2 linked regions of the Macaca mulatta genome follow. The protein of the gene in region 2 purifies or fractionates together with the protein of the main gene of each other region. This does not show direct contact. Links are inferred from orthologs where the notes say so. Each region holds a gene or a part of one and is shown on either strand. Other genes may lie near its edges.

Evidence for each region. Proteins that work in one complex are often made in the same cells at the same time.
Region 1: the proteins of AP1B1 (region 2) and AP1G2 fractionate together in Homo sapiens (co-fractionation; 3 studies listed by BioGRID and IntAct, with this or other methods). This does not show direct contact. The link is inferred for Macaca mulatta from reciprocal best matches to the Homo sapiens genes AP1B1 and AP1G2.

Annotation. Positions count from the first base shown.
Region 1 is NC_133412.1:96,663,480-96,667,626, forward strand, and holds the start of AP1G2 (AP-1 complex subunit gamma-like 2), read right to left. Parts: upstream 2,839-4,147; 5' UTR 2,725-2,838; intron 2,542-2,724; exon of another isoform or gene 2,447-2,541; intron 2,419-2,446; exon of another isoform or gene 2,312-2,418; 5' UTR 2,311-2,311; coding exon 2,107-2,310; intron 1,683-2,106; coding exon 1,558-1,682; intron 1,416-1,557; coding exon 1,274-1,415; intron 1,155-1,273; coding exon 810-1,154; intron 697-809; coding exon 601-696; intron 183-600; coding exon 102-182; coding exon of another isoform or gene 78-101; intron 1-77.
Region 2 is NC_133415.1:22,198,342-22,201,901, reverse strand, and holds part of AP1B1 (AP-1 complex subunit beta-1), read right to left. Parts: intron 1,723-3,560; coding exon 1,495-1,722; intron 16-1,494; coding exon 1-15. UniProt on the Homo sapiens protein: Subunit of clathrin-associated adaptor protein complex 1 that plays a role in protein sorting in the late-Golgi/trans-Golgi network (TGN) and/or endosomes.

The sequences.
Region 1 (4,147 bases), on a different chromosome or scaffold from region 2:
TGATATGGCCACTGCACAGTGAGGAGTCAAGTGAGGGGCACCCAGGGCTGGTGGGGTCTCCAAGCAACACAGCTAACCAGTGCCCTCCTCCCAGCCCCGACCTGGGCCAGCAAGTCATTCATGGTCTCACTGCTCTCCTCGTGGTTCCGGCCCAGGATCCGAAGCAGACGAAGTATCTGGACCTGAGGTTGGGTTGAAAATTGAAAGGTGAAGGGGTTCACAGGATAAGGAGTCATGGAGCTGAGGAGAAAACTCTAACATGGAGGAGAGCACTGTGAGGGTCTGGCTCGCTCCCTAGATCCTCCCCACACCTCCTCACCTCCACAGGTCCCTTGGTCCTGGGAGGGGAACAGAGGTGTCTGAGGCCAGGGGAGTTTAGGACAGGCTTAAAAAAAAATTGTTACCAAACTGTATTTTCCTGACTTTTAGGCATTCTCTCTCCCCTCACAGGTCCTGGGATGACCTGAGCAATCCTGTGCCTGCTATTCTGCTGCCCAGGACACTGAGAGGGCCAGTGTTCTCTTGGAGGAGACCACTGGTCATGGTCTTACTGCTATGCCCTCTCTGTTCCAGGGATACAGCAGTGAAAGGTCACCCCACCTGCAGGAAGGGGTCGCTGACTCCAGATATGCTGTGTTCTGTGGAGTATCCCGTTGTCACCAGAGTCCGGAGGATCTGTACCAGCTGGGGTACCACCTGGAGGGAGGGCACAACTTTGGGCATTTGTTCTAATCCTCTCCAGCTAAAGCCCCATTCCTTCCCCACTGACCCTCTCTTCAGGCCCAGGGCCTGCCCCTTCACCAGCCCACCTTTCGGAAGTGCCTGAGGGCTGCAGGGCTTCGTTCGCAGAGCTCCGTGATCAGCGTGATGGTGCCCAGCAGGATGCCTGGGGTCAGGGTCGGGGAAGTGAATGGTGGGGGCCAGGGGCAAGAGAGTCTATTGCGTGTGTGCCTGTGTGTGTCCGCTACCCTTCTCCTATGAGCTGGTGTTCCCATCCAATTTTCAATTCTTCTGTCCACAGAGCTGAAGCAAAGGATGGGGAGCCCCACAGCCTTACCATGGTGACGCTCGTGAAGCAGGTGGACACAGGGTGGGAGGAAGACGCTGGAGAGTTCAGGGACCTTCCGGATCATGTGCACTGCAGTCAGAATAGCCTGCAGAGGTCCGGGGCCTCAGACAGGGGTCAGAGGGGATTGACCCCTGCATCTACTACTATATGGCACACAGCAGGCAGTATCTGCAGGAGCAAGTGCCAGGAGTCCCACCATCTCACCTTCTTGCGCACGTAGGGACTGGGCTGCAGGAGCAGTTTCTCCACCTCTGGGGCCAGGTCTCGGCACATCTCAGCAGAGCCCATGGTGCTCAAAGTGCACAAGGCCAGGCCTTGTACTGGCTGAATCCCCTGGCTCAGGTCACTGCAGGGTTTGGGAGGACGGTCAGTCAAACCTCTGAGAAAATCAGTCCTTTTCAATACCCACAACAGGCAGTCCCCTGGGATTTCCAAGGTCCCTACTCTCCCATCTCCCTGATTCCAAGTGATTGCCAGAACCCTCTCACTTCTTGATGCTGTTGGTAATGAGCAGGTGGGCATCGTGCCTCTCATCCAATAGAAGCATGGCCCCCAGGTAGCCCACCCTCTTGTCTGTGAATCTGGAGGAGGCGATCAGTTTCAGGCACTCCATCTATAGTCAAGGGGGCAAACCAGGAAGAGGCAGGGGTGAAACCACAGACACTCACATCCCTGTTCCATCTTCCTCTTTAAAACCAGATTAACCTGTGGGGCATCCTATCTCATCACTCTCCCTTCAACAAGAGGAGAAGCTTAGGAAATTCAGGCGTTAGTGGGTAGGAGGAACTAGGAGTTGAGGAGGATGGGAGAGGAAAGGAGGAGGTGCCTGCCCTAAACGAGGCTGGCCAGAGAATGAAGGGTTCAGGCCAGATGATGACCAGTAGGGGTAGCAATGGGGAAAGAGGTTTGCAGTGCAGCCTGTGATGACTCTGAAATTGTAGAATTTTAAAAACCAGGGCATAAACAGGTGAGAGAGTCCGTGACTCTGCCCCACTAGCCTTCATCAAGCTCAGGAGGGAGGTATTCCTGGCCAGTACCTGTCCAAAGTGGGCGGGGTAGCCCAACATGTGGACGTAGAGCAGTTTGGCCAGCTGCCGGTGCCTGTGCACTGGGTCCCCATCGCGGAAGGAGGCCCGGATGTGGGCGCACTCCTTTTGGATCACCTCCCGCTCCTGGGCCTGAGTCTTGGCCCCGCGAATCTCTTCGATGAGGTCCTGAAGCTTCAGCGAAGGCGCCACCATTCTGACTGGCAGAGTCCGGGAGTGAAGAAACACTCTCTGGCCGGGCGTGCCTGGGTTTTCGGCCCAGGCGCGTCCTGTGTCAGGACCCTAAGAGCCCAGGTCCCACAGGTACCCTAAAATTGCTCCCGCATTTTACCTTTCCCGAAGTAGGTCTCCAAATTCCGCGACCACCCCACCGCCCGAGAAGCCCACTACGCATGCGTCGACACCCTACCGGCGCCCCTTCCTATTGAGCATGCGCTGGAGCCCCACCTATTTCTCCCGTTTCCTCCCCCTACCTGGTACCCCATCCCTAGCTTAGCCATTGCTTTCTTTCCACGACCCTCCGCTGTTTCTTCCGCGAGCTTCCTCCCCCGATTTCCATCTCAGGCAGCGGCAGCGACAGCCTGCCTACCCCCACGACTCCAGCCTCACCTGGCTTCTGCCTCAACTCCGCTCCTCTGCCCCCCAGCGCTTCCTGGTACGGGGCAGAGCAGGGGTTGGTGATCAGTGCGGTCCTTCCCTCTCCCCGCCTCCACCACGGGACCCCGCCCTCCTGGGCCGACTGCAGAGCCTTCCTGGATCCTCTGACCTCGAGCCTCAGGCTTTAGCGGACAGACAGCATGATAGGCCTGGAGTTCTTCAAGAGGCCTCCTCGCACATCGTCACCACCCGGAGAGCCTCAGTTTGGATTTGAAGCCATCGCACCCCAAAGGAGATGACAATCCCCCCCCTTTTTTGAACTTTTTTATTAATATATTTTTTTTTTGTTAAATTTCTTTGTATTTTTTTCCTGCAAGACTTGGTGTTGGCGGCACTGTTGTAGTTTAACTTCAATCCCAAATTCCATGAAATAGAAATCAGAAGTAAAGGTTGAGAGGGGAGGAAGGAGGGAGGCAAGCCAAGGAATAAACAGAGTTTGACTAGAAAAAAAGAGGGTATGTGTGGTGGGCATTCCCGGGCAAGGCCATTCCTTGAGGGAGGGGGTTGGCAGGCAGCTTGCCTCTGCCTCATGCAGGGGAGGGAGGAAAGATCCCCTGGGGACCCTACAGTCCCCTCTTCCTAGGGCTTCCTGCTCCCAGGGGAAAAGCTAATACCAGAGAGGGATCAACCACAACCTCAAACAGGGCTCTCCACCCACCTGTCACCCAGGTTTGACTCCCACCTCTGCCCTGCCTGGGAAGCATGTGAGATCAGCTTTCTTTGATCCCCTCCTTCTGTTGTTTTCCCATTTCACAAGATTCTGATGTGAAGGGGGAAGGGACATAACCCATTTTGAGACTACTAAACTTGTCACAGCTTCTGCTTCCTTGTGAGCTCCTGTTATCTTGTCTGGTCCTATCCCCAAGAAGTGCCTCCCCCGACCACAACTCCCAGAGTTGGGGTGTGGGGGCCTTGCTCAAGTGCCTCTAACCCTCTGCAGTAGAAATGTCTTCTTCAGGCCCCTTAGGAATTTAATCAAAGGCCACAAGTGAGTCCAGACCAACCAAATAAACTATTGTGGGGGAGACAGAAGGGTGGGAGAAGGCAGTGGCAAAGTCTGGGCGGGGTGGACTTGACTGCATTGGATATTCTCTGTTCCTTTACACGTTGCTCTTGGCATGGCATGCCACCAGAGGGGGCTGGAGGAGGGGCTGGCCGATGAGGAGAAAAAGAGGGAAATGGTAGGGAGTTATTCTACTTTTCACTTCCCTTCTCTCCCTCAGGGAAGGATGGAATTGGGCAGGAACCCAGCTCAGTGCTTGGAGGTGAGCTAATAGCCTCCAAGATTAGAGGTGGAGGATGCACCTCCTGCAGCTTTTTCACTAGGCCTCAGAGGGACAGCAGGCCCCTCAGGCTAGGGAGCCACAGCAGCGCA
Region 2 (3,560 bases):
ACCCGTTCACAGATGCTGGGATCCGTCCATTCCAATGGGGCAAACAGGAAAGACAAAGGGAAACATCCTGTTTTTAGTTACCAAAATAGCATGTACAGGCCAGGCGCAATAGTTCAAGTCCTGTAATCCCAGCACTTTGGGAGGTCAAGGCGGGTGGATCACTTGAGGTCAGGAGTTTGAGACAAGCCTGACCAACATGGTAAAACTGTCTCTACCAAAAAATACAAAAATTAGCTGGGCATGGTGGTGAGCACCTGTAGTCCCAGCTACTCGTGCGGTTGAGACATTAGGATCACTTGAACCCAGGAGGTAGAGGTTGCAGTGAGCCGAGATTGCGCCATTGCACTCCAGCTTGGGCAACAGAGTGAGACCCTGTCTCAAAAAAAAAAAAAAAAAAAAAAAAAAAAAGCATGTCTAGCCTGGGCAAAATCATGAGACCCTTCTCTACTAAGAATAATTTTACACATTAGCTGAGTATGGTGGTGCATGCCTGTAGTCCTAGCTACTTGGGAGGCTGAGGCAGGAGGACTGCTTTGAGCCCAGGAGTTTGAGGCTGCAGTGAGCTGTGACTGTGCCACTGCACTCCGGCCTGGGTGACAGAGCGAGACCCTGCCACAAACAGACAAACATGTTTTTTGTAGAAGAAAGATCTAAATCCTGGTTCTGCTGCCTGCTAACTCCCAGCAGGTTGAAATCACTCTGCACCTCAGTTTCCTCATCTATAGAATCAAGATGATGCTGCCTACTTCACAGGGTTGCTGGGGGCTCAACTGACATAATGCATATAAAGAACAAGGCCGGGCGAGGCTGAGGTGGGTGGATTGCTTGAGCCCAGGAGTTTGAGACCAGTCTGGGCAACACGGTGGAAACCTGTCTCTACAAAAAAAAAATATAAAAATTAGTTGGGCACATTGGCATGCGTCTGTAGTCCCAGGTACCTGGGAGAATCGATTGAGTCCCGGAGGTTGGGGCTGCAGCTCCAGCCTGGGGGACAGAAACCCTGCCTCAAACAAACAAACAAACAAACAAAAAAGAACAAGCACAGTACTGGCACATAGTACATACTGTATAGATGGCAATTCCTCACTTCCTCCGACTTGGAGGGTATCTTGTGGTTAAGACCATGAGTCAGGTGAGCCCCAGCTGGGGGATCAGCTGGGGGACCTGCCAAACACCCAGTGAGAATTCAATGGGCAGTGGCTCTGGCACTACCCATCTACTGAACTCAACAGAGGTGCCCTGGGCTTCTGCGAGCTCCCAGGCCAGGCCAGGCCTATGCCCACAGCAGGCACCGAGCTGACTGCCCAAGGCAGCTCTCCTGCCTGCCTGGCTCTGGAGAGGTAGGAAGCAGGCAGGCCTCCCTTTAGGTGTGTCTGAGGGTAGGTTGTGGGGCAAGGCACTAGAAAGGGGCCCACTAAGGCCCAAGGCCTCATTGGAGCCCCTGAGGACCAGGGTCCTCAGGCTGGGCTGGCAAGCAAGGGGCAGCCCACTCACCTCTGGGCCTCGCGGTCGTCCTTAGGTGTATAGTTGGCCAAGCAGTCCAGGATGAAGATCTGGCCCCACTCGGTGCACTCGTTCAGGGCTGTCAGCAGCTTGTTGATGGACTGTGGGTTCAGATCGAGCAGGTTGCTGCTGGGGTGAGACTCGGCGATTTCTGAGAGCGCTGCCACCGCGTTGGCCACCACCTGGTTGAGAGGGTAGAAGGGGCAGAGGCTGGGGGTGCTGCTCACAGGCCACGGGGCGGTGGGCTAATGATGCTGGCTGGTCAGAGGTCAAATATCCTGAAAGGAATATGACCCAATGGGCAGGGTCTGGAGCTGCAACGAGACCCACTCCAAGCACTCACCCTGCTGACTCCTCTGCAAACTGGAACAAAACCAAGTATGCCTGCCATTTAGAAAAACAAGAAAGACCTGGGTCCAAGTGCCTAGCCATAGAAAGCATTCCCAGCTTTTTTTTTTTTTTTTTTTTTTAATTTATTTATTATTATTATACTTTAAGTTGTAGGGTACATGTGCATAACGTGCAGGTTTGTTACATATGTATACTTGTGCCTTGTTGGTGTGCTGCACCCATCAACTCGTCATTTACATCAGGTATAACTCCCAATGCAATCCCTCCCCCCTCCCCCCTCCCCCCTCCCCCCTCCCCATGATAGGCCCCGGTGTGTGATGTTCCCCTTCCTGAGTCCAAGTGATCTCATTGTTCAGTTCCCACCTATGAGTGAGAACATGCGGTGTTTGGTTTTCTGTTCTTGTGATAGTTTGCTAAGAATGATGGTTTCCAGCTGCATCCATGTCCCTACAAAGGACACAAACTCATCCTTTTTTATGGCTGCATAGTATTCCATGGTGTATATGTGCCACATTTTCTTAATCCAATCTGTCACTGATGGACATTTGGCATTCCCAGCTTCTTAACACAGCAGCCCCTGTCTACCAGCAACAGCAGCTCACTTCAATGCTTGTCAGCTGTGCTTCTCAGAGCTAGGGGATTCCTGCCGATCTCCTTGAGGCTACTGGGAGTGGATGGGGGTTGGAAAAGAGGAGCTTGCCAGGTGAAGCTCCAGGCCCTCAATCCATTTCCACTACAGCAGGTGTTTTGGTTTTTTGCTTGTTTGTTTGTTTTTGAGACAGAGTCGTGCTCTGTCACCCAGGTTGGAGTGTAGTGGTGTGATCTCAGCTCACTGGAACCTCCACCTCTTGGGTTCAAGTGTTTCTCATGCCTCAATCTCCCGAGTAGCTGGGATTGATTACAGGCATGCACCACTACACCCGGCTAATTTTTGTATTTTTAGTAGAGATGGGGTTTCACTATGTTGGCCAGGCTGGTCTCAGAGTCCTGACCTCAGGTGATCCTCCCGCCTCAGCTTCCCAAAGTGCTAGGATTACAGGTGTGAGCCACTGCACATAGCCTGTTTTTGTTGCTGTTGTTGTTTTGATATGGAGTCTCGCTGTGTTGCCCAGTCTGGAGTGCAGTGGTGCATCTTAGCTTACTGCAACATCTGCCTCCCGGGCTCAAGCAATCCTCCTGCCTCAGCCTCCTGAGTAGCTGGGATTACAGGCACGCACCACCATGTGCAGCTAATTTTTGTATTTTTAGTAGGGATGGGGTTTCGCCATGTTGGCCAGGCTGGTCTTGAATTCCTGACCTCAGGTGATCCATCCCCCTCAGCCTCCCAAAGTGCTGGGATTACAGGCATGTAATCCTGTATGAGTCACTGCACCTGGTTTCAGGCAGCTGTTTTCGTTTTTTTTTTTTTTTTTTTTTTTTTTTTTTTTTTTTTTTGAGATGTAGTCTAGCTCTGTCACCAGGCTGGAATACAGTGGTGCAATCTTGGCTCACTGCAACCTCTGACTCCCCGGGTTAAAGTTATTCTCCTGCTTCAGCCTCCCGAGTAGCTGGGATTACAGGCACATGCCACCACACCCAGCTAATTTTCGTATTTTGAGTAGAGACGGGGTTTCACCATGTTGGCCAGGATAGTCTCAATCTCCTGACCTTGTGATCCACCTGCCTCAGCCTCCCAAAGTGCTGGGATTATAGGTGTGAGCCACCAC